Tamandua tetradactyla: one gene and its partners. The protein of the gene in region 2 interacts with the protein of the main gene of each other region in a biochemical or structural test. Links are inferred from orthologs where the notes say so. Each region holds a gene or a part of one and is shown on either strand. Other genes may lie near its edges.

Region 1 (7,596 bases), on a different chromosome or scaffold from region 2:
TTCCCCAGGACTGCCCCCACACTGGCTCGCCTAACGTCAGGCCTCCTTTCTAATAGCACCCTCAAAGGCCTGCCCTGTCCTTTCCGGCTAAAACAGCACCACTGTCTACACTCCGAGCCAGAGCAGGCAGCCAAGGAACTTCACTGAACAGTGACATCGAGTGACCTGCCTGGGGCTCCTAGCCTCCCAGCGCTTGAGTGGGGGCTTCCACTGAAGGAAGCATGCTGGGCTCCAAGACCCCTGTCCTCGGAGTGCCCTCCAGAAAGCCAAGGGAAGCCATGCCTTCCACTAAGCAAAGACAGCCCCTCCTGCTCTGTCACTCACTCATGGATCCATTCACTCATCCATCAACAAATATTTATTGGGCACCTCCTATGTGCCAGGCAGACAGACAAATACACGAGCCGTGTCGGACACACTGCAGAGCTCAACAAATATTTGTGGAACGAAGGAGGGAAGGAGGAATCTTGCGCCCTCTATGGCTCTCCCTCCTTTCAAGGCCACTGGGCTCATCCCACCACAGCTGTCCCCACCCCCCTACTGGTGTCCAGCTGTGGGTCTGATCGTCAGTGGAACCGACCTGTTTCTCTCTACACAGCGAGTCTGCCCAACCAATTTTTAAGGATTTGCCAACTCCAAAGCTCGTCAAGTGACTCTGTCTCACAGAATTAAATGAGGCGGCTTGAATAGTGCCAGTAACTCAGAACCCTGGGCAGTGAAACTACAAAAGTTGACAGCTGGCTTGTTTTGGACAAAGCTGTGCAATCTGCTTTTTTAAGGTTGTGACCTTCCACCCAGACTGCCGCAGTAGCCTTAGCTTCCCACCCAATGCATTCTGCGCCCCACTGCTAGGCTGGACCTACAACCAGGCTCTGAGCTGCCCACCCCCACCCCCCACCCCAATCCCCCTGGTTCAGGCACCTCTGCACACCCTGCCCAGCTGGTTCTTTTCAGCACTGGGACCCAGCATCACCCTGGCTCCCCTTCCCAAATGTGCCTGGTCACACTCTTCCATTCCCCACCCCAGGCTGTGCTGTTCCCGTCCCCACCTGCAATGCAGTTCCCAGCCCTAGGAAACTTCCTTTACCCCACCCAACTGGTGTGTGGGTAAGCAGGCAGCGGCTCTGAGGTAGGCAGTCTCGTTTCAAATCCCAGTTGAATGACCCTGGGCAAGGCATTTAACCCCAATTCTCCCTTCTGTAAAGGGAGACTCGTGACAGAAGCTCCAAGGGTGGCTGAAAATACCGAATCGTGTAATGCACCTAATGCAGCTGGCACCCAGACAGGCGCAGAGAGGGTGCCATCACCATGACACCTCTAAAGGTTCGGCTTTCTCTGGAACTCTCTCCCAGCCCCTAGCGAGGCTGGGGGCTCCCTGAGGGCTGAGGCTGGCCTCTGGGCTCCTGCACCATAGGAAAGCACAGTCTCTAATTTCTCCCTAGACCCCTCTAGCACCTTCCTCTTTGTGTGAGCCAAACAGATGCCCGGTCCCGGCCGGCCAGGCTGGACCATAATCCTACCTAGCCGATCTGGCCCAGCCCCTCTGCTCCGGGCTTCCCTCTCCCCCTCTCCACGCACCACCCGGCTGAGGAGTGAAACCGAGCCCGCCCAGCACGCAGTGGCCGCCAAGCACAGAGCTGGGTCCCTGTGGCCACAGCTGGACTGGCCCCGGCTGAACTTCCTATTGTTTTTCCACATGCTCTCGCTGCCCCAGGACAAGGAGCATCTCTCCTGAAAGTCCCTCAGGGGGGAGATTCCTCCACCCACTCCTTTGCCCCTCAGCACCTAGGCCTCCACTGCCAGGGCGGGTTATTTGGTGGAGAAAAGATGCATGGGGAGGGAGGTGGGCTCCACTTCTTCCTGCCCCCTCCCCGGCCCCATTCCTCTGCTTTGGCAGGTTTCCTGATCCAAGCGGTTCTTCAAAAAGAGCCACTTTCATTTTTGTAGGGTTGGCTCAGAAGGACTAAAGCTAACACTGGTCCCTGCTGGGGGGGCTGACCATCTCGGGGAAACGGGGAAAAAGGACGGCTAACACCGTCTGTTACATTACACGGGGGAAAAAGTTTTCACCCAGAATGTTCGTAAAAAAAATAAAAATCAACCTTAAAAGGTGGTCATTAAAGGTTGGGGGAGGGGCAGTACGGAGAAGTAAAAGGAAAAGAAAGCGATAGAAACGAGTCTTTCGGCACCAGGCGTCAACCCCAGGCGCCAACTTCTCGCCCCCCTTCATGCCCACCTTCCTGTCTTATTCCCCGGGGAGCCCCCACTAGCCGGCCACCGGGAGGGACGCCCTGGCCACCCCGATCCCGAGCTGCCAGGCAGAGCGCACCTGGCAGCCGCCGGCCGCGGAACCGACCCCCGGCTGGGTGCAAGGCTCGATTTCAAGGGAGCCCGCGGGACACTACCACCCCGGGGCCGGGGCCCGCTGTCCGGCCAGTGAGTGCCCGGAACCCGCAGCCCAAAAGCCTCGCGGTCCCTCGGCTGGCCCGCAGGTACCTTGGCCGCAGGCGCCGCGCTGCAGGACGATGACCGGCGGCTGGCTCAGCCTCTCGGAGCGGCGGCTGGCGGCGCGCAGCTGGCACGGGTTGGCGTAAGTGTTGGCGTCGCTGCCGCACACCGGCTCGCTGCTGGAGCACACGCAGAGGCCGGCCTGCGCGCGCCGCCGCACGGTGGCCGAGGCGGGCACCCCGAAGGACACCACGCACTGCAGCCCCTCGCCGCACGGGCCCTCCTGCAGGCCGCACGCGGCGCCCTCGGGCGCCCCGCACACCTCGCAGCAGCCGCACGCATCGCGGACGCGGCCGCCCTCGCAGTGCTCCGGCGACTCGGGACAGCGCGCGGGATCGCAGCGCTCCGGGCACCCGGTGGTCGGTCCCACTGCGGCCGGCACCGAGCGGCCGGCCCGGAGCAACTGGGCCGAGGCGGGCGCCGCGAGCAGCAGCAGCAGCAGCGGCGGGAGGAGCGCGAGGAGCGCGGCGCGCGGGGACTGCATGGCGGCTCCGACGGCGGCGGCGTTGGGCTGGGCGAGGGCCGGGGAGCGGCGCCGGGGAGAGCGCGGGAGGCGGTGCCGCCGCGGGGGCCGGGTCGGAACTCGGGGGGAGCGGGTGCGAGTGCGCGTGGCCGCGCCGCCCAGCCCATTGGCCTCGCAGCGGTGACGAGCCGCCTGGGGACGGGCACGGCGCCCGGGAGGGGGGCAGGCCGGATGGCGGGAGGGCGGGCGGCGGCTGGACCGGGATCGCCCGCGGCGGGGGCAGGGCGGGCGCGCCAGGGCAGGGCCCGGTGGGGCGCGGGCGGGCCGGTCCTCGCTCGGGGCTCAGTTTCCCCGTCTATGCGCCCCACTCAGGAAAAGTTTCTGCAGAATGTCGAGCTGATGATCCGCCAGCCGGGGATCGCCGGCCCGGATCACGCACCCCGGAGGAGGACAAGCACCTCGCTGGAAATGACCCCGCGCCCGGCACTCTGGCCCGCCATCGTGTGCCCGGTGCAGCCGTACATAGAAGACGGGGTTGGGAAAAGCCAGCGCCGAGCCCCGTGGTTAAGTGACAAAGGCCAAGTGCAGAAGTATTTAGAGCAGAATCATTTGCAATCGACTCATTTCAAAAGTTATGGGTGGGATGCATGTTCCCCCCGTGCAGAATATTTACAAAAGGAGAGTCGAGAAGCTGGAAACGGGGGTGGGTGTTGAGGGTCAGGGGTGTGGAGTGGGACAGGGGCTTAGTACTGTGAATTTTTTACCATGTGCTTGTGTTATCTCAAGACCATTTTGTTACAAAATAAAAAAGCTCTCTTTTGATCTCCCAGTTGAGAGGCTTCAGTGCATCCTTGTGGGGACAGAAGCGAGTCCACGAAGGCACCAGGAAGTGCCGGGATTCCGGCCAACGCGAGCAGGAGAGAAAAGCCTGCGCCGCCGAGGACGCGAAGACACGGGAGGGAACTGTAGAGGGAGCTGAGCCTGGAGGGGAGGCGGGGAGCGGTGGGAGGGGGCGCGGGCGGCCCGGGGATTCCTCACTGTTCTTCTGTATTTGGGTTGTTCCTTTGTGCACGCATTACTCTTCCAATAAAAATAGTTTAAAAAGTAAAATCCAAATGTTTATGATGTCCGCCCACACACGCACAGCCCTTCAAAGCACCTCCTAAACGTCCAGTGCCCAGAGGGATGCCTGGGAACAAAGTGGGAGAAAGGAGGCAGAGCCGCACAGGGCAGGAAAAGGACACTGGGGCACCGGCCTGGCTCCCCGACTATGCTGCACTATTTCATAAAGCCAGAACCTCACCTCCTTCTCCGGGAGGGTGGATACCTGCCCAGATGGGAAGCTCTGAGCACGTGGGGGACTGTGGGCTAAGATAAAAGGGGGGAAGGATGGAGATAATTACTCAGCATGTTAGATCTGCAAATAAAAGGACTCTCAAAACCAAAATTAGAGGGGAGATGAAATCAAAGAAGACCAGGTGAGGAATAATTGGTGAAAACTGTTTTTTGTCCCAATTCCCTTATCTTACAGGTGAGAAAACTGAGGAGCAGAGAGGGTGAGTGGCTCTCCAGTGTCATATGTTACACCTCAAGGTGAACAAGCCAGAGCCAGGACTCCTCTGAGTGGCCCTTCTACCTGCAAAAAAACACCCCGTCCTCCACCCTCCTGCCAAGTGATCAGACTGCAGCATGAGGTAGCTGAATCCAGAACAAAATGTGACCAAAGCTTCCCCGTTACTTGTCGGATGGGGTCTCCGAACTCCTTCCCTGTCAATGACTCAGCCCCCGAGAATTGAGTCCCCGTCATCCCTCATCTCAACACACACACACATACACACAAACTGGACTCCTGCAATGCTGAACAACTTGCATTTTCTGGAACAAACCTGTCTTGGTTTGCCAGGGCTGCTATGACAAATACCACACAACGAATCGGCTCAAACAACAAGCATTCATTGTCTCACAGGCCTAGACGTCGAAATCAAGGTGTCTGCAAAGCCGTGCTTTCTCTCCAAAGTCTGTAGGGTTCTGGTGCTGGTCTGCTACACGCCCCAGGGTTTCGTGGTTCACGTTTCTGCCTCCGTCACCTGGCCATCTCTCCCTCATTGGGTCTGCTTCTCTGGTTTCTGGTGACTTCTGGCTTCTTCCTGTGGCTTCCTCTGTCTTCTCTGTATAAGACCCAGTAGGATGGATTAACTCCCACCCTGCTTCAATTGGGCCACATCTAAATAGGATCTTTAAAGATCCCGTCTGCAAATGAGTCCACATCTTACTGATAAGACATCTTGAAAGGGTCCTATTTACAGTCGGTTCACACCCACAGGAACACAGGTTAAGAGGAAGAGCATGGCTTTTGTCCAAGTACAAGATCCAATCTCCCTCAATCTCTTCCTGTTCTAAGTCTCTGCCTTTGCTTACACTGTTCCCTCTGCCTGGAACACCCTTCCTCCCCTTCCAAGCTAGTGAAGTGGGCAGGCATCATGCCATTTCAACCCTCAACCCTGTGACTCCGGGCAGGTTGCTCGATCACCTCAGTTACCTTCACCAGGAACGTGGCAGTGACTGCAGGTCCCCTGTGAATGACTGGCCCAGGTAAAATACCAGGCCCAAACAGCCCTTGCTCAGAGTCGGTTCCAGTCCTGCCTGCCTGTCACACTCCTCTCCCACCCTCACCTGCCTGCTCAATGCCATTGTCTCCACCTCTCACCCTTGGTCACCTGTCCATTGTTACTGCCCTGGACAGGTGCCCTGCACCTTCCCCCCTGGGGCAGGGTCCCTATCTTCTTCACCTCTGGATGTCCCAGGCCAGCACAGTGCCTTCGTCCTCAGTGTACCCTCGGAACTACTATTGTGATGTTCACAGCCCTGTGCACACCATTGTCAACAGTGCTGCTCAGTCGGTGCAAACCAGGAGACCATGCAGAGAGAGAAAGAAAGATACCACTAACCAGGCCGGTGGCTTCAGCAGGAAGGGTATGGGAAGGGATGGATGGAAGGCCAGGGTGATACAGGAGAGGCAGAAGCTGCAATGCCCAAGGCTTTAGAAAGACGAGGTCAGCAGGAGCGCTGCACCCTGCGATCCCATCCCGGACCATCCTCCACTGTGAGTGCAGCCCCCCACCGGCTCTGACAACGCACCTGCAATTCTTCAGTTGGAGAAACCCAAGTCCCACTGGAAAGATCTAGGAGCCCTGAATTGTGTTTCATGTGTGCCTGGGACACACTCGCGTGCAGTGGGGAAGGTAACTGGATAAATCAGCTGAAACCTGGACTCAGGGGCCCACTGGTGAGCTTCCCTTCATTCGAGCTTCTGTGTGTCTGGAAGTTATGCTTTGGATGAGAAAGGTCTGCTCTTTCTTTCTTTTAGATTCTTCCCCCAACACTATTTATTAAGAGCTAGTTCTTAAAAGATGCATGTTTTGATACGTCATGAAAATTCATTTCTCCTTCATCAGGGGTTGGCACAGAGTCTGAGGGAGGATTTTTCCAGAGAAAAGGGTGAAGTTCTGAAGCTCCACAGGCCAGGTCCCTGCCCTCCTCTCTGCAGTCCTAATTTATAACATTCAGGCTTTAATTTTGAACAGAGCCTGTTCGTGAATAATGAACAATGAAACACCATGGCTGCCAAAGCTGTACTCAGGAAATGAGGTTCTAATTGGAATGGAGCAGCCCAGTTTGCGCTGCCCAGTAGGACAAAGGGCTTCCACTTGGGCCTGGGGACTCCACTGTTCTCCCAAATGTACAAAGGACCCAGAATGGTTAGGCATATGGCCTTTCTTAATTCACAGCATCTACATTAATAACTTTCATCTCTTTCACTTATCACTTCCCTCTCAGTCATTTTCAGTGGCTCCCAATCCCAGGGAAATGAAGTCCGGACTTTCCAACCTGAAATCCAAAACCCTCTGTGAACTGACCCACCCTGAGCCTTGAGCCAGGTTGTCCTCTAGTTCCAGGGTGGCAGATTCCACTTTACTGCCCCTCACACCCATCCCACTCTGTCCCTGAAGGATACTCAGCACCCAGGTAGAAGACTCCTGGCTCCCTTTCCTCTGAGCACCTGGCACTCTGCCGTCACCTCCGCCACCCTCTCCCAAAAGGCCACAACCCCCTTGACTGTGGGCACTCCTGGTTGTGTATCCCTGATGATAAGGCCAGGTCACTTCAGTGTGGTTCCGTTCAAAATCAATTTCTTGACCATCTGCTGTGTGCCGGACCCTTTGCTGGACCCTGGAGATGCAGCACTGAATAAATGAACTTCTTTCCCCATGAGCTCAAAGTCTGGAATTTCCTGTAGTGATGGAAGTGTTTTCTATCTGTGCTGTCCAACAAAGTACCCACTATTTTTTGTTTTAAATTTGATTAAATTTTAAGTTAATTTTAATTAATTTAAATTACATTTATTTCAATTATGCTTAATTAAATTTAAATTTAAATGGCCACATGAGTGCACCCCATGAGCCAGATGAGTCTAGCGCCTCCTGTACCACAGGGAGGTGGGGGGAAGAAAACAAATGCAGGGTGGCAGAAGGAAATGCAGGGGGAATCAGGAACCTTGAGAGGAGGTGACAAATGAGATACATTTGAGGGATCAGGAGGATCCCACCGCGATGAGAAATGGAGGA
Region 2 (7,625 bases):
GCAGTTAGAGAAGGAAATCGGGCCTCCTGGCTGGAGAAATGGCAGGGGCTGGGACTCAGCATTCAGGCATTCTGAGTTCAAAACCCTGTTTCTCATTTGCCTTGCAACCTTGAGCAAATGACTTGCCCCTCTGAGGCTGAGATTCTTTTCCTGTCGAAGGAGAATAGAGCCCAAAATGTGATGTGTTTAAAATAAAGCAACCAACAAAGTTTGTGGCACAATACAGGTCCTTAACGCTTGTTTATTTGTGTTCATTTCAGGCAGAAAGGGATATTGGGGTTTTAGGGGCAACAGTGTATACAGCGGGTTCAGGGTGAGCTCCGCTGGATCCCTTCAGCACTCTGGGTGCATTTGGAATCCTCAGGCACCCTGGGACTCCATTCACCCACCCTCCCTTCCTGGGGGTGGACTGGGCAACCCAGGCCCCCTCCCCTGGCTGCCTCCGGAGCTGGACCCCTTTGAAGCGCCTGCAGGTCTATTTTGAGAGCTGAGTGTCAACCCCCTCCCCTCCTCTCTTCCTGTTTATGAAACCCTGATCCCTCCCGGATCCCTCATGCTCCCCTGGCTGGAGCTCAGGCAGGATGTGACCACGGACTTCGGGGAACCTTGGGCAGCCTCAGGTGTTGGGGGAGGACTTCCCCTGGCCCACCCTCCCTGCACCTGGGGCCCTGGGGCTGGCCTCTGACCATGGTAAGACTGCCCAGCTAAACCAAGGAGAAGTTCTGTTTACAATGTCCCTTTGTCTCCATGGCCCAGTTTGCTTCTAGAAACAACTTTCTGAGAGTAGCGCATGCCATTTTTACCTCCATTTTATAGAGAAGGAAATCAGAGCTCAGGCAGGGAAAGACCGTGGCCTGGGAGCACTTGACCAGTGTGTGGCCAGTTCTTCTTGACTTCCCACCTCTACTCTTGGCCTCCAAACTCTTGCCCACACCTGGCTCTCTGCCTGTATGTCTTCCTTCCTCCTTTCGGCCTGGCCAATGTCTGCTCATCTGCAGAACCCAGCTTTGAGTTGCCACTGCCAGGCACCCACAGCACCTGCTCTCAGTTCTGTCGCAGGACAGTTGTATTTTATTATCATGTGTATGAGGGCAAGACCAGGGTCTGCCTTAGCTTCCGCACCTCTTGGCCAGGGAGAGGAGGGGATCAGTCACTGCGAATGATGTCCGGAGGAGAACCAGGCTGGTTGCCCTTGCGGGAAGGACAGTGAGGGAATGCTTAAAAGCAGGGTCTTTATACTTCGATTTTGCCCTTGGCTCCACCTCTTTCTAGCCATGTAGCCTTGGGCAGGTCACTTTCTCTTTGAGTCTAGTTTCTTCATCTTTGAAATGAGATGACAGTACCTCCCTTGGAGCCAAGACACAGGATCTTAGCCCCAGCCCCAGCCCCAGTGCCGAGTACAGGAACAGCAGAATCCCCACTGGCAAAGGTTGAAAAAAAGAATGGCCGCATGCAAAACACGCTTGGCTAATAGGAGGTGCAGTTCTCATTGTCACTCGTGCAGGTCCTGGCCTGGTGCCTGAGGCCAGCTCTGCCTTCAGGGATGCCTGAGAATGGCAGCCTCCCTCCTCACCTGCCCAGAGGCATGCTGGGAATTGCGTCTGGGGGCATCTGTCCCACCAGAGGGGTTTAGTGCCTGGTAGGCCCGCAGATGCTGCCAGCTGGGCAAAAGGCTAGTGGTGTCCATTACGCACTGGGACTAGCAGGTGGGCTTGGGCGGCAGCTGGAGGAGGGAGGCCAGGGCTGGAAATCAGGGAACCAAGGGTCAGGCTAGAGTGCTCTGGATCTCTCTTCCAGCTGCCATGTGGGAGGAAGTAAATCAAGAGGAAGTGTCTCTGGTGGGGAGCGAAGGGCAGGGACCGAGGGGATGTGGGCTGGTGCCTGTCCTCCTGCCGCTAGAGGCCTCCCAGCCCCTCCGCATGCCCTTCTGTGCAGGCCGTTCTGAGACTGTTTCCTTCCTGTGCCCTGCCGGCCGCAGCGGTTCTTCCTCTGCTTCGGGGGGAATGGGGGTGGTGGATGCCCCGCTGACACCGGCCCCTCTTCTGCTGCTGGGCCAGAGAGCTTTGAGGTTCCCAGGGCTGTCCCGGTCTCCATGGGGGGAGCCTGAGGAAGCTGGGGTGCAGTGAGAAGCCTCGGATTCAGGGAGGCATTTCAGAACGCCTGGCATCGCCCATCGGAGGCTGTTATCGGAGACCCCGTGAGGGCAGGGAAGGGGAAGTCCGTGGGCACTGCAGGCGTGTATTTCCACATAGGCCAAGTCTGTGGAAATGGTTTCCGATCACCGGCCTGAGTGTGTGGTTGTGTGCCTGTCAGTTCCTGTGGGTGCACTGGTGTGAGTGATAAGATGAGGCCACATGGAAAGGGGCTGGGCCTGGTCTGGCTCTGCCCCACAGCCCCTTGCCCCTCTATCCTGTCCTTTGTGTCGGGCTGTCCCCCTTGCATCTCTGGGCCCTGGAGCAGCAAGCCTCTTCAGGGCAGGGCTGAGAACGCAGAGCCCTGGAGCCGGGGAGGGCTGCGTCCTGTGGTGCCGGCTGTGAGGCTGGCATCTTGGGTGGGCCCAGCCACAGGAAGGGCGCTGTGGGGGCAGGAGTGTCTTGAGCTGGACCGTCTAAGCTCTGGGCTGGGCAGTCAGAGGCTATGGCTTTGCTGACTTCTGTCTCCCCTTCCTCAGGGCCCCTCCAGGTGGGTGTTCCCGGGTGCTGGGATGCCCCCCTGTGTCACCACCTCATTGCCGCATGACCTCCATCTGTATTCCTGTGTCCCCTCCCTAGGGTTAGAGGAGATGGGGAGGGGCGCACACCCAGTCCTCCCTGGGGTAACGGGCTTGGGGTCTGTGGTAACCCCTCCTCAGCAGGGGAGCCTGACCCATCTTCTGTCCCTCCTCCCTGCGGAGGGGGAAGTGAGAAGGAGGGGGGCCAAGGACCCTGCCTTCTGGGCTGGGAAGACTGAAAAAGCAGAAGTAAAGGGAGTAACAAGGCCCTCTGGCCACCGGCTTGAGCCCCACCATGCAGACCACGGCAGATTTCCCCAGGGTTGGGGGAGACTTGGTCTTCTGTCCCAGGAAGGTGAGCAGAGAGAAGGCCTGCGTCTCGTGATGTGTCACCATTACTCTGGGCAAGGGCAAGGGTTTGGAGGATGGGGTGTCTCTGTGTCCTGGGGTTTCCCGATAGTTGCCTCTGTCCCCTGGGAGCATTCTCGGTCAGAGACAGCTGACGGATGAGGTAGAGGCGCAGTTCTCAGGGCAGGGTGGGCAGAAATGGCTGTGTGGTCTTGGCCGCCCCCCGCCTCTCTCTGGGCCAGGCTTTCGGCCTATCCCACCAGGGGTTTGTACTCAAGCCTGATTTGCCTGCAGCTTTTTATGGCTGTTACACCACTCCCCCTTCTTTCAGGGAGGGTCCCCTGGGGATGGGACTGTCTCTGAGGGTCAAGGCCTAGAGTGGGAAGTCCCCAGACTGACCCTGATGCTGAGGGAGGGGGCAGGCCTCGGTGGGGAGGAAGTGGCTCTGGCTGCCTTACCTGCCCACCCTTTCCTGGCACTTGAGGCCTGCTGATCCCAGGCCAGGCAGCAACCAGGGGAGGGACTTGGGTTTAGCTGGCTCTGCCACTGGCTTGCTTTGAGCCTGGGTGAGTCACTGTCCTTCTCTGGGCCTCAGTTTCCTGTTCTCAAAATGGGGATATTTTGGATTAGAGTCAAAGCCATCAGAGTGCGCTCTGGAGATGACCCCTCAGCCCACCATCTTAGTCCTGGACCCCTCAGGTCCTGGGGTGGGAAGAAGGTCCTAGGGACCTCAGAGATGGGTCTGCCACAAATACCGGGTTCCTCTCCTGGGTTCTTGGGATTTGCAGGTTATGTCCCCTCATCCCTTCCTCCACCCCAGGCAGACTGAAAGAATCCAGAGCTCTGTCTTGGAGCTCTGACGCCCCCTTTCCTGGGGATCCTCGCCCTGCTACCTGTCTCTGTGTCTACCTGTCTCTGTGTCTACCTGCTGAGTGCCTTCCTGTCTTCACTTGTTGGGTACATGTCATCCACTAGGTGACCCACACCTGTCTGTCTCTGCCTGTTGGGTTGGTACCCCCTTCTGTCTCTACCTGTTGCGTACATGTACCCTCCTGCCTTGCCTATTAGATACGTGTCCCCATTCATCTCTGCCTGTTGCATACATGTCCCCTCCTGCCTCCACCTGTTACGTACATGTCCTCATCTGCCTCTGCCATTGAGAACATGCCTCTGCCCATCTCTGCCTCTTGGGTATGTTTCCTCCTGCCTCTGCCTGTAGGGTGCTTGTTTTTTTCTGTCTCTACCTCTTGGATGCCTGCCTCTGCCCTTTGGATGTCTTTTTTTTATCTGCCTTCATATGTTAGGTGCCTGTCCCTGCCTAACCCAGAGTACTTACCTGCTTCTCAGCAACTATGTTGGCATGAGGCCCCCAGGGAGGCTGGGGCAGGGAGGGCCTGAGGGCAGCCCTCAGGCTTTGGGGTGAGGGCAAAAGAGAGGAAGGGAACGTGGTGAGGGTGTAAGCCTGGAGCTGGGAAACCACAGACCTTGAATGATTGGCGGTCCTGGGCCAGGCCCAGCCCCCGCCATCACCCTGCACATCCGCCCTGGGCCGGGCCGCCTCCGAGGCAGCCCGGGACGCTGCCTGCTCCTGCCATGGTGCCGCGGCCCTGCTGGCCAGATGGAGCAGGATCCCAAGCTGCCCCGTCTGCGGCTCTGGGCCCTGCTCCCCTGGCTGCCCAGGAAGCAGCGGCCCAGGATCAGCCAAACCTCTCTGCCTGCCTCGGGCCTTGGCTCTGGCCCCCAGCAGGACTCGGTGAGTGTACCCGGATATCTGGTCCTGGCCTGGCTGTGGCCCTTGGAGCAGGTGCCTGGGCAGCCAATTTGGCCTAAGTTGTCTTTGGGCTCTCTTGGTCCCAGCCTGGCCCCGTGGGTGACTGGACCCTGCCTAGACTTGCTTCCCAGGGAAGTAAAGAGGCCTTCAGAGCTCTAGAGACACCAGAAAACTGGGAGACAGCAGAAGCTTCCTAGAACAGCCAGGGCCTGGCAATTGGCTCATTGAAGGGAAGTTTGAAAGGGTGGGCATGGCATTTCTGGTCTTAACTCCCACCCACCCGAGGCTGGTGCTTACTGGGTAGGTAGGGAAGTCCCAGGTGACTCAGCTCTCTGTGTACCTCGGCCTTGTCCTGTTGGCCAGAGGGATTCACTCCATCTCATCCTGACCAGGAACAAAGGTCCAACTCCACCTACCCAGTATGAGAATAAACCCTACTTCCTATTGTAGCAAAACCAAAAACGTTTGCAGCAGGGGAAGGGAAGCCCTTCAGGGACGACCTGGAGGTCTCAGGGCTTTAGCCAGAGCTTGCGGTTGGGGGGAATTCCTTCCTGGTTGTGCCAGCATCCTTGTCGCCTGACCCACACCTTGGTGGTTTGACCCTTCCAGGTCTCTGAAGCCCTTTTGGGGTTGGTAAACTCAGAGGCAGTTGGGGTAGTGTCCTGGCCAGACCTGCAGGACGCTGTCTACTGAGGTCCAGCGGGAATGGTCCCAGACTTGGGGGGGCCCCTGCGTGGGCTCTCTGTGCTCACCAGCTCTGTCCCTCAATCAGGATGAGGGCGTCCTCAAGGAGATCTCCATCACTCACCACGTCAAGGCTGGCTCTGAGAAGGCCGACCCATCCCAATTTGAGCTCCTCAAGGTGCTGGGCCAGGGATCCTTTGGCAAAGTGAGTTCTGAGCCCACTGCTGGGAGGAATTCCCTGGTTATGTCAGAGGTGGGGGGTGAGGGGTCACTCAGGAAATCGGGGGTAGGGTTGAGGGATCTGGGGGCAGGGTGAGAGGTCACCATGGTGCAAGGTCACTATGGTGCTGGGGGAGGGCAGAAGGTCAGCTTGGGGCTCCGGAAAGTTAGAGGTCAACTTGGAACCTGGAGGGTGGGGTCTGACGGTCCCAGGTGCCCCCATCAACCTCCACCCCGACCCCACTGCCTTCTCAGGTCTTCCTGGTACGAAAGGTCACCCGGCCTGACAGTGGACACCTGTACGCCATGAAGGTGCTAAAGAAGGCGACACTGAAAGGTGAGTGGGTAGCTCCTCGTGTGAGCCTAGGCTGGGGCCAGGGTTGAGGGAGACAGCCATCCGTCAAGGGCCTTAGGTCTGATGGAGAAGGTGGCTCTGTCCTCAGGAGTGCCCAGTCTGTGAGAGGAGATGTAGGCCTGCATTCAGCCACCCACAGGACACACATGATGGGGGAGGGAGGGCGTGTTCAGCAGAAAATATCCCATGGCATTACCACGTCCCCTCCTGCAGCCACCTGCCAATGACCAGGATGGAAGGTGACTGTCCGGAAGGAGGCAGAGGGACAAATGCAGTGTGTTTGTAGTGGGGTGGGGACCTCAGATATCTAGCATCAGGCTGGTCGGGAAGGGGAGGTCTAACTGTCAGCAGGGCTGCCTCATGATGTGAGCCCAGGGGGGACCTCTCTGGTCTCCTGGCTCTAGGTGGAAAAGGGTGTGAGAGAAGAGGCAACAATCCCAGGGGAACATCTGAGCCAGGCAAGAGAAGGTGAGGTTGAAGCAGGGCCATGGAGATGTATGGCAAGGAGGTTCAGAAGGGAGCCCCAAGCTAAGGTTTAGAATGCTGGGGACCTCCAAAGGATGTAAAAATGACTAGTGGCAGGCTTTGGGCTGGACATTGTCTCTAATTGTTCTGGGAACCAGTGCAGCCACAGGCCAGATAAAGTTAGAGCCTGCACCTGGCTGGTGGGGGTGGGGGATGGGGAATAGGAGGTGTTGGCCTTTGGGACACTATGGGTCCTGAGGCCCATGAAGGGCCGGCTGTGGGGGGATGGTAGATTTGGTCAGGGTGGTACTCATTCCCTAGGAGGGATGGTGAGAGCCACTGAGGAAAGAAAAAGATGAAAAGACTTGGCCCCTGTCCATGAAGAGCTCCCAGGCTGGGATGGGTGAGGCGGTAGGTGTGGTCAGTGCAGTGACACCAGGATGGGTATCTGTTCTAGTTTGCTAGCTGCTGGAATGCAATATACCAGAAATGGAATGGCTTTTAACAAGGGGAATTTAATAAGTTGCAAGTTTACAGTTCTAAGGCCTAGAAAATGTCCTGATTAAAACAAGTCTAAAGAAATGTCCAATCAAAGGCATCTAGGGAAAGATACCTTGGTTCAAGAAGGCCGATGAAGTTCAGGGTTTCTCTCTCAAGTAAGACGGCACATGGTGAACACAGTCAGGGCTTCTCTCTCGGCTGGAAGGGCGCATGGCGAATACGGCGTCATCTGCTAGCTTTCTCTCCTGGCTTCCTATTTCGTGAAGCTCCCCGGGAGGCATTTTCCTTCCTCATCTCCAATGGACTCTCCACTTCGTGGTGCTGCAGCATTCTCTGCTCTCTCTGAGTCTCTCTCTCCAAAATGTTTCCTCTTTTATAGGACTCCAATAAGCCAATCAAGACCCACTCAAATGGGTGGAGACATGTCATCCCCTAATCCAGTTAAACAACCATTCTTGACTAAATCACATCAACCAGGGAGATGATCTCATTACAGTTTCAAATATACAGTATTGAATAGGGATTATTCTACCTTTATGAAATGGGATTTATATTAAAACATGGCTTTTCTT
Region 3 (7,391 bases), on a different chromosome or scaffold from region 2:
GAATGTCTCCCTTGGGGTGTTTTAGTGCTGGGCGGACTTTCTACCCATGAGAATGGCTCTCCCCTAGGGGGTGTCTACGCATAGGGGTCTCTTCATGGGGCCGTCTGTAGGTGGCCTGGCTCCCGGGGGGGGCATCTGGAAGTCCCTCCCCTCGCCCTCCTTCCCGCCCCCACCCCATCCCCACCCCCACCCCAGCGCCTGCAGCCGTGGCCGAGGCCGGGCTCGGGCGCCCAGACGCAGTGACGGCACCGGGACCGCCCCACTTCGCTCCGCCCCCGCCCCCCCCAGCCGCCGCCGCCGCCGCGGTCCCCGCGGCTCTTCACTCCCTCCCTCCTCCCTCCTCCCGCCGCCGCCGCCTCCCTCCTCCCTCCCCCGGGCCGAAGCCGCCGCCGCTGCCGCCGCCGCCGCCGCCATGGACGATTCGGGCCTGATCCGCCGCCGGAGGCTGCAGGTACGCCGCGGCCCCGGAGCCGGGCGGAGGGGAAGGGGTCGGCGCCCTGGGGCGGGGCCGGGTAGGGGGCGGGAGAACTTGCACCAGGGTCGGCCCGGGCGCCCCCTCCCACGGACTGGGGACGCTGTCAGCCGGGGACGCGTTGGCCGCGCGTCCCGCCGCGCTGGGGACCCCGCCCCTCAGGCGCCGCCCGGGGCTCCCCAGAGCTGAAGGAGGGGGTGCAGACTAGCGCTCCTCCTCGAGGGGAGCCTAAGGGTCGCCGGTCCCGCCCGGGGAGGAGGGGACTGGGGCCGAGGTCATCGCCCTGGCCCCCCCCGCCAGGCGGACGTGGTGGGGGGGGGGCCCGCAAGGCAAAGTTATTGCCCCAGGGCTGCGCCCCTCGGGGCCGCCGGCGCCGCAGCAGCCGTAAACATGTTTGTGCGGCAGCCTCGCCCCTCATCACCCCAGGAGCCCCTTTCCGAGGCGTGGGGTTCCCCTGCACCCCCCATGCACCCTGCCTGATCCCCAGGATTCTTCCTACTGCCCTAATTGGACAGGCACCTAGACAGCCTCCTCACTTTTCATTCTACCCCATTCCCCACTCCCCCCTCCCTCCGGCGATCCCCAAGTCCAGCCCAGCTTGTGGGTGGGCGGGAGCGATTTTTAGCTCCTTGCAGCCTTAGAAGACGCTGGTCGCCGCTGCGCAGGCGCGGAACGCGTGGGTCCACTGCGCGGAGTGGGAAACTGAGGGCTGTTGGGAACGTGGGAAAGGTGGGGACAAAGCCAGGCTCAGGGAACTTCCACCTCCAAACCGCGTGAGGATTCTGAGGCTCAGGTCTTCAGCTCGGGCTTCTCGGGGTGGGGTGGGGATTTGATACGGGGGTCAAGCGCTGCCCCCACACTGACTCCGAGGGGAAACTGATCAAGGCTTTATCCCACTGTCGGTCTGAGGTCTGGCCCTTCTGAGCTTCTCTCCAACCCAGACCCGCTCCCGGTACTCTGGGGGGTGGGAGTGGACATAGATAAAGCCAAGTGTGGGCCCAGACTCTCGCTGCACCCCAAGACTGCAGCACGAAGGGGACGAGTCAGACTCATCCAGAGCGCCTCGTCCATCCCTGGACTCCTGTAATCCACCACCGGAAATGGAGAAGGGTCTGGCCATCGAGGTTGGAGACCAAGGGGAGCTCAGCGCCCATTGCAGAAGGAAAAATGGGGGTCAGATAGCAGGAAGGACTTTTCAGGAGGCTGGATGATGCTGGACCCAGGCATGGTTTGGAGAACTGATTTGGTTTCAAACAGAACCCAGATGGTCCCATCTCAGAGTCTGGGTCCTTTCTTTGGCAGGGCTGGGGGCGTTGGAAATGCGTTCTGAGAAAAGAGAAGGAGTTGCGACAAAGGTCGAGCAAGCGCTGCAGCAGCGGGGCTGGGTCCGCTCCGTCGGGTCCCTGGGAAAGGAGTGGAAAGGGGCGGGGCCTGCATGGGGTGTGTCTCCACCCTCCGGGCGGGCGCGGACTTCCATTGGCTCACCGCCACACGGGGCTGCTACCTCCCGCGGAAGGCTCCGCCCCCAGCCCTTGAATTGGGAATGGGGATCCCGCCCAGACCCTTCTCTCCACTTCCCCACCTTCCTCACCAAAGACGCCATCACCGATCACCGCCTGGCGACCGCCTGCTGGAGTCCAGTTCCCCTGCTTCCTTTCTGGCAAGATTAACCACTTCCCTGCTGAGTGCACACGTACACACACACGCACACACACACACACACACACAGATGTACATAGGTACAATCCCTTAGAGACTCTCCAACCATCGCAGAGCACCCAAGAGGTCCCCGGTGTGCATTTGGGATAGAGTACGTATGCAGGCAGCATCCTGAATTTGAACACCCTGTCGGCGGCGCCATCCATTAATTTTGAGGAGAAGCGGAATCATCTCCCTAGAGAGACTGAGATTGGACCTGTCGTCTAACTACCCTGACACCAAAGGTCCGAATCCTTTGCCACTCCGGTTTGTCCCCTCCCTCGACTTTAGAGTGTTTGGGAGCGCGAGAAGTCGAGGCTGTGTTCAAGAACTTACTCCTCCGGTGGCGCTTAAATGTCCCCACGGGGACCACGCTCGAAGGCCAAGGGTGCCTGCGTTAGAAGGGACCTCTGCCCCTCTGGGCTCCGTGGCCACAAAATCCAGACCTGGATTTCACTTGGGCCATTGCGGACGCGCGGCAAGTATGGCAGGTCCAGGCTGGGACTCATTCACGCCTATTCCGCAAAGACAGAAGGAAAACCCGGTGTGGATTTCTGGCCACCCGTGGCTCGAGAGGACAGGGCTGACAACAGGGGACAGCATGCCCAGTGACCCTGTCCATAAGCCCGTCCTCTCTCCATGAGAATGAGCTGTCCCTCTGGCCCATCTCCTGTCCTGGTAGCACGTCCATTCACAATTACTCCTATTCCCACGACCTAGTATTTATTGAGTGCTTACTATTTGCACGATGCCATCTCACAGAATCATCCCAGCTACCTTAGGAAGCATGGACTATTGGAAGGTCATTTGCCAAGGCCATAAGGGACCGAGCTGAGATTTGAGCCCAGGGCTTCCTGCTTTCTGAGATCTTAGGAAGAATCGAGAATATCCTCATTTTACCTTTCTTAGAGTTCCCACAACAGAGCTTTAGAAATCTCCCCCTGAATCTTTGCAGCCGCAGGGCCCCGGTCCAAGCCCCTTCCTTCCATCTCTGAGCTTTTCAAGATCGAACTAACTGGAAAGTGACATCACCTCTCTCCACTGCTGTCCTAGGAAAAGGGCCAAGATGCCCTTAACTCCAGATCCCTGAAGTTAGTTACTGAAACCTGGACAAATGGAATACAATCTTCCTCGAACGTGAACACACAAAATTAATAGCCACCAATTATTTTTATTGGCCATTGTGGAACAAGATACCAGGCCATTCACATTTCAAATCTCCTCCACCCAACACCCCCAACGGGACCAGGGTGAGGCAGGTCTGTTGGACTGTGGAAGATTCATTCATTGATTTATTCATTCAACATTTCATACTTGAACATGCCAAGATCATTCTTGCCTGAAAGCTCTTCTCCTTGCAGTTCCCTCTTCCTGGGGAATGCTCTCTCCATAGATCCTCCCAAGGCTGGGTCTTGCCTTTCAGCAGCCAGCTTAAAAGTCACCTCCCCAGAGTAGCCCTCATCCTGCTTCCTTCTATTCATAACACTTATTACTGTCTAAAATAATCTCCTCCACTTTATTGTCCATCTTTCTCCACTAAGTACTAACCCCGGAAGGTTTCTAACTTGTCTTACTGCTCTAGCCCCAATGCCTAGTTTAGGGGCTGGCATACAGTAGGCGCTCAAGATATGTATTTTTTCCAACAGAGACTGCTGCTTCATTTGCACGGACACATTGAGATGCCAACTCAGGAGCCCACCTATGGGGGCCCTCCTATTTTCTCTGCCCTGGTCTCTGGGGGAGGGGTGGGTGGAAGAATTCCCCTGGAACCCTCTCCCACGAGAAACCCGTCCCTCGCGCATCTACAAGGATGAAAGTGACAATGCTGATAAGGGACCCGCGTTCACCCTGCTTCTGCTCCTCCGGGGGGGCTGCAAGGACTTGCCGGCAGCGGTCACTGGCCCGCACTGACCCTTGTCCTTCTGCCCCTTTGCCTTCCAGAAGGATCTGCCCCTGCCCCGGAAAAGCAGCAGGTGAGCTTTGGGGAGAGACACGCGGGGCTGGCCGCCCCTTCTCCGGTCCGGGTGGGGGCGCCAGGCTCGCGCGCGGGCGGGGCCTGAGGCGCCGACGCACCGCAGCGCCCCCTCCTGGTGGGCGACGGCCGCAGGGTCCGCCCCTCCCCCGCCCTCCCTCGCCCGCTGCGGCTCCAGCCTCCGCCCCGCGCGCTCGCTCCCCGCGCCACCGCCGCCGCACCTGCCACCATGTCGCCGCCGCCGGGTCATGTCTGACTCTCTCTGGACCGCGCTTTCCAATTTCTCGATGCCCTCCTTCCCTGGCGGCAGCATGTTCCGCCGCACCAAGAGGTAGCCCCCTCGACCCCCACCCCCGCCACGGACCCTGCCCGGGCCCTCCCCTCCAAAGCCGCCCCTCCGGCCGCTGCCGCAGGGCGGGGCCGGGGATGCTGCGCCCGGTCCAGCTGCACCAGAGGTGTCAGGGCTGTGCCTTCCCGCCTAGGAGGGGAGCGAAAATGGGGGGGCTTGTTGTGGGCCGAGGCTGGGCGGGGGGGGGGGAGCCTGCACGCTGGGGGGTGACGGCCACAGGGGGAGGGGGGCTGCGCTTGGTGGGGGGCTTCGGCGCCTTTGTCTACCCGCGCTGCGGGCCAGGCAGCCCGGGTGGGGGTGAAAGAAGGAGGGGAAGGTGGGGGCTTGGCACCCTCAGAACAATAGCCGCAGCCTGGCTGAGCGCCCCCCCTCCCCGTGCCGCGTGCGCTGGACGCGCTGATCTGCTCTGTCACTGCGGCCGCCGGGGGTGGGGGGATGGAAGGGCTGGGGTCTCCCTCTTCGGGGGCTGGAATCCTGAGGGGCAGAGAGAAATGGGGGGAATTTTATCAGAGCACAGATTCCACCCCCCCTTCAAAGAACCCAGCTTCACACCGAAAACAGTGACACACAGAATCACGCAGGACATGATGTCACATTCACACACACAGCCCTAGCGGCCCAGATACACCCGGGAGGCGCCACGCACACCTCACCATGCAGTGGCCACGGGCAGGACCAGGAATAGACACACAGGCGTGGAAGCCCACAGGTCCAGTGAATTTCCACCCGGTAAGATGTCACACGCATAACCATCCATGCACAGATATGCTGTCGACATGCACACAGATACATGTGTGGCAAAGATATCCATGCATCCAGCAACATCAAAATGCTTGTTGTCACCCCTAGGCATGGTACACAAACACCAGGAGAGAATGCCGCGGGGAATCTTGCAGAGACAGAGACACACAAAATCACACGTTATCACACTCAGGACTCACCCAGGGGATGTCATGCAAAGTGGCATGCTTGGACATGCCTGGTGTTGCAGGGTATTACACCTCCTCAGAGGATGCATATGTGGGCCACATACTGACACTAGGGCAGTAACTCACACCGATTCGGAATGTCGCCCAAGGACAGACAAATGTAGTGGAAATCACACATCAAGCCCATACCAGAGCCCATGGTGACATTCCTAGACATGAACAAGTGGCATTACACATGGACACACAAAAGCACAGAAGCTGTCACACAAGATAAACCCAGGGAGCATCCCACATGGATGTCACACTTGCACACGCCCGGTGTTACATTGACCTCGCACTGTGAATGTCACACACAGTACCAAGGACAGGCAAGCAGACACTGGGTGACTGAGGCACTGTGTCCACACGGAGCGAGTCCAGCACGCACTCATCACACACTCATCCTCTCCCCACGATTGTCCTGCCGAGGCCTTCGTGGCCACCTCCTCCGAGCAGCCCTCCGGGGGCACCTTCAGCACACAGGAATGGGGGCCGTGGGCAGGGGGTGAGCGGTGGGCCGGGCTCCGGGAGCTCGCGCGGCTGCGGCCCGGCCTGGCCCCGACCTTGCCTTCCCCGCAGCTGCCGCACCAGTAACCGGAAGAGCCTCATCCTGACCAGCACTTCACCCACGCTGCCGCGGCCCCACTCCCCGCTGCCAGGCCACCTGGGTATGCCTGGGGGCGGGCGGCTTGGGTGGGTGTGGACCAGGCCGGAGAAGGCGGGGTCACAGGCGAGGGGCGGGGTCGCGCCGACAGAGGCAGGCTCAAATTGGGCAGGGGGCGGGGGCCATCCCTTCTGGGCGTGGCCGCTCACGGAAGGTTTGGCAGGGCGGGGGCGGGGTCAGACTGGGCGATACAGCAAAGGGGGTGGGGCCGACTTCAGGGGCGGGGCCAGACAGAGGCTGCAGGGCCTGGGCGGGAACCAAAAGCGCTTAGAGAGGCGGGGCCTCTGCGAAAGGGGCGTGGTCAACCAGCCCTGGGGGCGGAACCAGATTAAAAAGGAACCGGTAGCTGCTTGCAAATCCCAATTGCCGCCATCCCAGGCCTAAGAGCTCCCTCCTTACGCCACAGGCAGCAGTCCCCTGGACAGCCCCCGCAACTTCTCCCCCAACACCCCAGCCCACTTCTCCTTCGCCTCCTCCCGAAGGTGAGTCCCTCCCCCCGCAGGAGTCTCAAACCCTGCCCCCAGGCCCTCCCCGCCCACCGTCTGGGCCTCCATCTGTTCTCCTCTTAATTGCACCCGTGTCGGGGCCAGAGGGGACCCCCAGAGTGGTCCAAGGTCTCAGGGGGGCGGGGCGCCTTGCAGTGGGGGCGGGGCCAATCGCCGAGCGGGAATCGGTCGAGGGGGCGGGGCTTCCTTTGCTGCGGAGCAGAGGCGCGTGCGCCCTGGACCAGGGTCTCAGTCTCCCGAGCCCCGAGCTCCGGGCTGGCCGTTTCCATAGCAACAGGGCAAATGAGCCACGATGAGGTGCGCAAGCGCAGACTGCGCGGCGCCCATCGAGTAGCTCTTGGTCTCCGGGTGGGGGAGGGTGGCTGTGGCTACCTCTCCAGGGCCCGGGAGGAGGAATCTCAGGCTTCCCCTTCCCGAGCCTCTGGGGGGAATGGGGTGGGGGGCTCTGGAGTGTCCCCAGAAGAATTATCTCGGGGTCTTTGGTGGAATGAGCGGTGGTGGAGGACAGAGAGGTTTCCCTGATGTTTTTGGAGAAACTTTCTGGAAATTCCAGGTGTTCTGGGCGAGTCATTTTGAAGGCCATTCTCAGACGTTGTCTCAACATCTGCCCTGTGCTGGAACTGGGGAGGCGGGGTCTCTACCCTCAGCGTCTGCTGGGGAAGGAGATCAGGGAACAGGGATTCCTGCAAAGAGGGGTGAATGCTGCGGGCTGGGAGTCCCAGGGGGCGGCTCCCTGGGGAGGGGTCTGGGAAGGCTCCTCTC
Region 4 (7,861 bases), on a different chromosome or scaffold from region 2:
CTATACTCATAACTTTGTTAAGGCCCCCTGGCACATAAATAATACTAAACCAATACTTCCAAATTTCACCCCAACGTATATGCAAGTCAAGTCAAGGACAACTACTCTTTTAAAGAGCAAACAGATGATCAATATTTACAGAAAGGACATGTTTTGAGGAAAAGTAGTGATCATATAAGAATAATGCTTGTAAAAAAAAAAAACTCGTAATAAATTCCTAAGAAACAGGTATTCATACTCTCAGCAGTGCTTAATTAAAAGTTTTTGTTTCCTTTAAAAAAATATGGAACATCAGCAGCACCTGAACCAGTTTCAAAGCTATAAATACCCAAAACAATTTGCAGTTTCATCTTATACTTAGAATACTCATCTTTCCATCTTTCGTGCCTCACACACTACCTGGCACAGAAAAAGGCTCTAAATAATTGCATGTTTATTCAAGCTTATACCTCTAGTGAGTTATAAAAAGAACACAAATCCCAAGATCTTATTTCCCAGATAACAGAAATAGGAAGAAAAGCCCTGGGGAGCAAAGGTGAAGAAAGGCCATTACTTGGGGGGCGGGGGGGGGGGGGCATTTGGTGATTTTTGTTTGGAAGGAGCTGGGGGCACTAAGCTCTGTTTCCACAAAATTAAATGCCCCTAGCACCGCAATGAAAACTATCAACGCTACTTAGGAACTTACTAGTTCCTAATAAGACCTTCTGTCTACAAACTCAACAGAAAGGGCAAGAACTGAGTGATCCAGGAAAACAATTACCCAAAAACCCGTGAAAGTGATTTCTCAAAAGCAAAACACCCTGTATAATTGAGGAATGGGGACAACTAGAAAAGAATAAGATTAGCATTGTTGCTATTTCTGTTGTGTGCTCTGCAAAAAATTATTTTATTGAAAAATAAAACCCATTTTTAAAAATATGCAACCAGGGAACAAATAGATGGTTTAAGTTTTTAATGGAATCTTTTAGGTGAACAGTCACATGACACTGGAAAGCATCAACAGGAAGAGGAAGTTCTTCTGTTTCTGGAATAGCTGTTATGGTATGATAATGGAATTTGGCCCTTTTAAAATCAACAAGTGAGTCTTACAATTGGGTAAAACTCCCTTATTAGTAAATTCATGTGCTTTCTGGAGGTACTCTATTGTTGCACTTTACATCAAAATGTTTTTAAAAACCAGAGCCTCTCAGTTACCTGATCTATTCTTTTTAATGATGTAATAGTTTAAAGATTGACTTAAAACAACAACAAGCTGACTGATATTTGGGTCCAGGATACAGTCTCATAATTAAACTGAGAAATAAAGTGTGATAAAGGAATCAATATACTTATATCTCTAAACCCCCTTCAGATTGCTATGGTGTAGCTCTGTTCACCAAATATAACAACGCAACATAGCCAGGTACTAAAAAAGACAAACAACTTAACAAATCTACCTGCCATGCTTGTACTACATAATTACCTTACGGTTTATATCCCTTAAATACAAATGTTTCTGAAAATATTAGAATTCAATAATTAAAATAAAGTCTCACGATTTTCCCTCTCCCCCCCCCCCCACCCCCCCAGTCCTTGATCGTGCCTCCAGCAAGAGCCTGGGATGTACTGGTAAATTTAACATTCTAGAAAATTATTAGATAAGTAAACACTATGCAGGTCAACACCTAAAAGAGATTAAAATCATAAATCACCATGCAGCAACTCAAAATTAACTTCACAAATCGAAATTCCTAAAATTAACGTGTCTAGAGACTGCAGGATTGGACTAAAACTGAGGAAAAACCAATACTCAGCCGACTTCAGACACTGACCTTCACCTAAAATGACCTTCCTTTGGTTTCAGACTGAGTACAGATTCTAATGCACTTACAGACAGAAAACCACATTCGCGGTTTTACCTATAGCTTTACAGGTAATCTGGAGAAGTTTCTCTCCAGAAAAACTACATTTCCAAATTTAATCAACCGGATGACTCGGCAGCAACCCTAAATTATTTGCATAGCTCCCGAACAACCCGCCTGTCAATTTCACTAATCAAAGGCAATCGGCAGTAGGCAGGGCCGAACCTCGGGAGACTAAGAGCAGGAGGAGCTTCATACCAACCTGTCGGTGATAGTAGACTGTGTGCCACTCATTGGGGCCCTTGGCGAGAGGTGCTCCTTTTATCCAACTTGCATTTTACAGTAACACCTCCACCCCACCCCCAGTGCTCTGGGATCAGGCCCAACTCCTTCAGGGACACAAAAGTCCAACTCAAAACTCCATTCAGTCATCTAGAGCATCCGATTGGAAGGGGTCAAAGACAGGGTAGATATAGGCTGGAGCAAAACAAGTTATCTCCCCAAACAAACCGAGAAAGTCTGCCAGAAGGCGAGTTCTAAAGCTAGTGATAAATCCTCAGGAAGGCACAAGGGAAAAAACTTCGTCACCGAGGGAAGTCACGAGCCGCGGGGAAGGGGACCCAGGAATCCCTCCGGGCTGGGGAGGGATCGGATTAGTGACGAGAGTCGGTTCCTCCTTTGGGGTCTCAAACTCGCCGCCGCCGCCGCCGCCGGGCCAGGACCTCTCGGCCCAGGTCTCTATCTGGGGCTGCCGGCGGCTCCTGGCTGCAGCTTCTGCAGCGTCTCGGGCAGTCCCGCACCCGGCTCACGGGGCTCCATATCCCCGGGGCAGGGACCCCTCTCGTCTTCCTCACCGCCCCCACCAGGCTCCGAGCGCTGTGACGAGCAGCGGGTGCTGTTAGGGAGGGGGTCCCGCGGCCTGAAATGACAGGGACCTGTGTCTCTCAGCGCCGCAGGCTGCTCCCCATCCCTCCCCGGCCGGAATCTTCCGCAGTCGGCTGAGGTGGCTCCTCCCCGACGCTCCAAGAGGCGACGGTTCCCGTGAGGGGCGGGAGGTTCCTGTCGGGTCCGGCCCGAAAGCGCCCGCGAAGGGGGCGGGCGGGCGAGTTGCAGCGACTCCCCTCACAGGGCCGGCTCGCCGGGTCTCGGGGGCCCTCGCGGGCGCGCGCGCGGAGTGCGGAGGAGGAGGAGGACACTAGCCGCGGGGGGCCGCGCGACAACTGCAGGCGCGCGCGCGGATTCCGGTTCCGGTTCGGCCTTCCTGGCCCCAGCCCCGTCCAGGCGAGCTCGCTCTCTCCCTTCCACGCCCACCCCCTCCTCCCCGACTTTTTTGGCCTGCTGCCCTCGGACTTCGGAAAGCCACCTCACCCGAGATCCCTCCGCGGCTTCTACCGTCTCGTCTTCGCGCGGCTCCCGCGCGGACGCCTCCGCCAGAGCCTTGTTTGGTGGAACGAAAAAGTAGTCCTGCGGGGCGGAGGAAGGTGAAAAGCCTGAGGCCACAGGAGCTCCACCAACTAACACACCGTCACCCCCACCCCGGCGCCCCCTTACTGCCGGAGAGCTGTGCGTCGGGGTTGAGCGTGTATTAACTCAGTTTTAACCAGAGTTCTCCAAAGAGAACTCTCCCAGTCCCTAGGAGTTCATGATGAGGGTCTGCCTTTGGAATTTACCACCCCCTCTGCCCTTGACCTAGAAACTTCTGTTCCTTAATTGAATGTACTTGTTCTCCTTACTCTCTAACACGTATAGAATGCTTTTGACCGATGGGCCCATCCCGGATCCCATTCCTCTTCCCCTAAAGGTAACCCCAAGAGAGAGGTTTTGGCGCGGGCAGCTCACCTGGAGCACCTGCTGCCCTCGTCCCAGGAGAGGGGCCGTGGCGCTTAAGTCCTGGCTGCCTAGGGTGGGAGGTGGCAGGTGTGGGGCTTAGGGACTGGAATTGGAAATTGAAGCCAGGATTTCTTGGGATAAATATTGTTTTTAGGCTTTTTCTGCCTTGGCAAAATGAAATGTATTATTTGCCAAACTGAGAAAGCATAATGCTTTCCACTATGATTTAACAAGCTTATTGTGAGACGAAATGAGAGAGAAAAAATATCCAATAGCATTATTATTCTCTCTGAAGAGTTCCCAAATATTCTTTGGGGTTTCCCCCCTACCGTTTGGAGACAGAGCTTTAGATATCCAAGTTTTATGTTTGAATAAGTCGGTATTGTGGCAATTTAACAGCAACATATAATATAGTTCTTTAATTCTGCCTTCAAACGTCTGAAGTACTGCCCTTGTTACTCAACTATTTTCAGACTTGTACGTTTAGACAAGTTGGTGGGTGAGTGGCTTCAGCCATTTTGTGGAAATCAAGTGGCAAATCAAATCTAATATGCAGTGGATGTGGAAAGAAGAAACAATTACTTCTTAACAATGTTTGTTAAACGTCATTCCACAAAGTTCATGAAAGGATTATTATCCCTGAATAGATGCATTCGCTAAGGGTGACGTTAAAACGGGGGAACCAAAAGGAAAAGATAAACAAAACAGAGTCCAAAGATGACTCTTTATTGCTTGATTTTTTTTTTAAGTTCAAGGCACAGCCAGCTAATTTTGTAATGTTTATTTTTGGAAAGAATAGAAGCACATTAGGGTTCCAAGCCACTTTCCTAATGATCAGACCAAGACACATTGCCACCTGCTGGTGTTTCCTAGATGACAATTCTATCTGAAGACACTAATTAAATTGTATATTACACATAATTCGAATGAGCTCCATCCATTTTGTATACAGTGACCAAAATCCAAAGTTTATGTCCAATTTAATAATTCTTTCTTAAATGTACTGAATACGTTTAAAACTAAAAATTTTACAGTGTGTCAAATTAGTTGCTCCCAGTGACTCATCAATCATGCATTTTAAAAATGAATTCCCCTCTTCCCGTCAAGAATACCTCAATACTTGAGCTTCAGGAATAAAACAAACTGGGAAAGTTTCCTAATTCACCTTCTCTTCCTTGCATACAAAACCTCTTGGCAGACTGCTTTCAAGACCTTTCCAAACTTAAACAGACTCAAAGTTCTAGCTGTGAGCAAAGAAGGCATTTTGCTGTGGGAAAGCTTCAGAAGATGGTAAGCAAAGGATTTAATTAAGCCAGTGGTTATTCATTCCAGAACTTTTTTTTTAATGATGAAAATCTCTATATTCATCCATGAAGCTCTAATGGTAAAAAATGTCCCTTGAAAGCCTCTTTACAGCTGTTTATAGCTCTTGACTGTTCTAAAGGCTCTATCTATAGAATTTCTTCAGAAGAGTCAATTTAGCTAGAAGATACTCCCCAGAGTCAAGGAGTCCTTTCCGGGGGTAAAAATGACCTTGATGACCCAAGCCACCAGGCATTCCCTTTCAGGAGGTTTTCCAATGGGGATTATTTTAAACCACATTCCCATCGCCTTCTCCATTCTGTCCACATAGTTGTTGAGTACCTATTATGTGTTGCATACTGTTGGAGGCATTGGAAGTACAGTTCTGAAGAAAGCCACAGGCCCTGTCTTCAAGGAATTCATTCCACATTATTATTCTCAAGGCAGTCAGGTGGCAGCACAAGAAATAAATTTTTTCCTCTCTCTTTTGACAAACTTTTCAATATGTAGATTGTTGCTCCCTAAAATAAAGAATAGTAGGAATGGCTGCCGATAACAACTGATAAGAGGTATTTCACTGAGAAGTATGAATATGAGTCAATATTTCTGCAAAAAAAAGTCAGAAATTTTTTTTCTTTGCTTCTTGGTATAACCACAAAAAAGATATAAAAACTTCTGAATTGATTTTTTAAATGTGTTTATTTTTATAAAATTTAGTACAAATCTTATTTATATATAAATCGTTCTTGGGCAGTATCAATAATTATTACATAGCAATCCAAATGCAAATGAGTACTTCATTTTGTCCAACCATACCATAGATTAATTAGCCCTTCATTTACCTGTGGTGCAGAAACTCAGCATTTTAACTGCTGAGTCATCTTCATTTCACATTTTTTCTCTCAGAGAAGTTTCTTCATAGTTATTAGCCACAATGTCAAGAACAGCTGAAATGAGGGATTCCCTTTTTCGTATTCAGATTTCTCATGGTTCAAAAAAACACTAGGTACTTTCCCATGAGAGTGCCCCAAAACGGCAAGATCTGCTATCCCTTTGCTTCTGAAGAGTCAAGAGAAAAGAACTGGTACCAGATTAAGTCTATTCATTTGTCTGGTATGGAACAGGTTGCACTGTGCCAAAATTCAAGAGCCAGCTTTTTCTTTTTCTTTCTTTTTTAAGCTCATGTACCAAGCCACTCTTTTTTTACTAGGCTTTTGCTAAAATCAGCACTTCCCAGCATTCTAGGCTGACCACAGTTTTGTTGGGAGGAAGCTCAGCAGCATCTCAGGGATACTGATAATAGAAATAAGATGCACAGATGCCATCTGTTTGATTGTGTCAATGCCCAGTAAAACTTTCTAACCAAATGGCAATCATTTAAAAAGACCCACTGTTAATATGCCTTTAAAGGTGCTTTTCCCATAGCAGTGATGACTTTGTGTAATTCCACCCACTCCCTCATGCCTGTTTCTATGGCCAACCATACAAACATCCACTTTCAAGACACTCATTAGTTTAGTATTTCTGTGACATGGAATGGACTGACGTTCTACTTGACTTCAATAAGCACCACACACTTGCTCACCAACTGAGCTAGTCAGACACTCACTGGTCTACATAACATAGTTAAATAAATAAATAAATAAATACATACATAATACTTCATTTTTTCATAAAAGTCATAACTTAAAGACTGCCATTAATAAAATGCCACACAATGTCTCTATGAATACATGCCGGGATATTTCCTTCACTCACAAAAAGGTTTAAACTGAGGCAAAGAGTAAATAATCTGGTGAGTGAGTAGCAAAATTAGTTAAAGAACCCAGGAATTTTTTATTTCTACCCCCTATTCTAGGCTTATATTCTCGCTTTTCCAAGGTGTGATTATAGACCATTGCTCTAAGAAATATATTTTATTTATTCCAAGATTGGCCTGGTCAAAATAATGTGTCCAAAGAGAGTGGTACCTTTTTAAGAGAGAAATAAGAAGAGGAGGACTAAAAAGGAAAATATATGAAGTAACAACAACAAAACATTAGCTTCATCTCCCCCCTGAGGCCAGTACATACTTTTTAAAGTCTTTGGTTCTCGTTTGCAATATGTACAGCAAAGCTGAAACCTGAACTGCCATCTCAAGCACAGTGGAATCCACATAGTAAATCCCTATGGAATTTAGTCACAGCCTCTCATGCCTAGGAGATTAATGCACAAAAGCCCTGAGAACTGGCATACAGTTTTCCTGGTAGGGCAGAACCTGTACAACTGGACTCAGTAAATCTGCGCACACCACATTCATCTCACATCCAAAGCCCTAGCTATATGGTTTTTGTGCAGTGAAGAGTTAACACAGCAGGCATGTCCTGCTGTCCTTGGAAAGGCCTGCTTACAAGTTTGGCCCTTGGCTGGCATCTGGGAACTTAGATTTCAAGAGGGTTCCCACAATGAACTGATAAGAGTGGCTCACTGTGGCTAAACTGTTTGGGCAAACACTATGATTTATACTGAATACCTGCTTTCCTTCTGGGAGTCCGGAATCATGGTAAATGCCAGGCAGAGGCTGCCTAAGTGAGCAGCCCCCAGTAAAAACCCCAGGCACTCAGTTCCTAATGAGCTTCCTCAGTAGACATTTCACACATGTTGTCACAACTTGTTGGAGGAATTAAGCACATCCTGTGTGACATCACTAGGAGAGAACTCTGGAAACTTGCACTTGGTTTCCCGCGGACTTTGCCCCATATATCTTTTCTGTTTGCTAATTTTTCTTTGTATCCTTATGCCATAATCATAGCCTTGAGCACAACTATATGCTGAGTCCTCTGGATCTTTCAATCAAATTGATGAACCTGGGGGTGGTCTTGGGACCCAACATAGTTGGTATAGAGTGT

What was found.
Region 1: the proteins of RPS6KA1 (region 2) and HTRA1 interact in a test that uses a peptide from one of them, tested with the Homo sapiens proteins (2 studies listed by BioGRID and IntAct, with this or other methods). The link is inferred for Tamandua tetradactyla from reciprocal best matches to the Homo sapiens genes RPS6KA1 and HTRA1.
Region 3: the proteins of RPS6KA1 (region 2) and MAST1 interact in a test that uses a peptide from one of them, tested with the Homo sapiens proteins (2 studies listed by BioGRID and IntAct, with this or other methods). The link is inferred for Tamandua tetradactyla from reciprocal best matches to the Homo sapiens genes RPS6KA1 and MAST1.
Region 4: the proteins of RPS6KA1 (region 2) and ARHGEF12 interact in a test that uses a peptide from one of them, tested with the Homo sapiens proteins (2 studies listed by BioGRID and IntAct, with this or other methods). The link is inferred for Tamandua tetradactyla from reciprocal best matches to the Homo sapiens genes RPS6KA1 and ARHGEF12.

Annotation. Positions count from the first base shown.
Region 1 is NC_135339.1:85,084,897-85,092,492, reverse strand, and holds the start of HTRA1 (serine protease HTRA1), read right to left. Parts: upstream 3,011-7,596; 5' UTR 2,993-3,010; coding exon 2,497-2,992; intron 1-2,496. UniProt on the Homo sapiens protein: Serine protease with a variety of targets, including extracellular matrix proteins such as fibronectin. HTRA1-generated fibronectin fragments further induce synovial cells to up-regulate MMP1 and MMP3 production.
Region 2 is NC_135328.1:199,665,594-199,673,218, reverse strand, and holds the start of RPS6KA1 (ribosomal protein S6 kinase alpha-1), read left to right. Parts: upstream 1-4,610; 5' UTR 4,611-4,676; coding exon 4,677-4,811; intron 4,812-5,601; coding exon 5,602-5,718; intron 5,719-5,987; coding exon 5,988-6,069; intron 6,070-7,625. UniProt on the Homo sapiens protein: Serine/threonine-protein kinase that acts downstream of ERK (MAPK1/ERK2 and MAPK3/ERK1) signaling and mediates mitogenic and stress-induced activation of the transcription factors CREB1, ETV1/ER81 and NR4A1/NUR77, regulates translation through RPS6 and EIF4B phosphorylation, and mediates cellular proliferation, survival, and differentiation by modulating mTOR signaling and repressing pro-apoptotic function of BAD and DAPK1.
Region 3 is NC_135337.1:89,801,177-89,808,567, reverse strand, and holds the start of MAST1 (microtubule-associated serine/threonine-protein kinase 1), read left to right. Parts: upstream 1-4,390; coding exon 4,391-4,473; intron 4,474-6,038; coding exon 6,039-6,127; intron 6,128-6,529; coding exon 6,530-6,605; intron 6,606-7,391. UniProt on the Homo sapiens protein: Microtubule-associated protein essential for correct brain development. Appears to link the dystrophin/utrophin network with microtubule filaments via the syntrophins. Phosphorylation of DMD or UTRN may modulate their affinities for associated proteins.
Region 4 is NC_135334.1:20,292,644-20,300,504, forward strand, and holds the start of ARHGEF12 (rho guanine nucleotide exchange factor 12), read right to left. Parts: upstream 3,013-7,861; 5' UTR 2,136-3,012; coding exon 2,104-2,135; intron 1-2,103. UniProt on the Homo sapiens protein: May play a role in the regulation of RhoA GTPase by guanine nucleotide-binding alpha-12 (GNA12) and alpha-13 (GNA13). Acts as guanine nucleotide exchange factor (GEF) for RhoA GTPase and may act as GTPase-activating protein (GAP) for GNA12 and GNA13.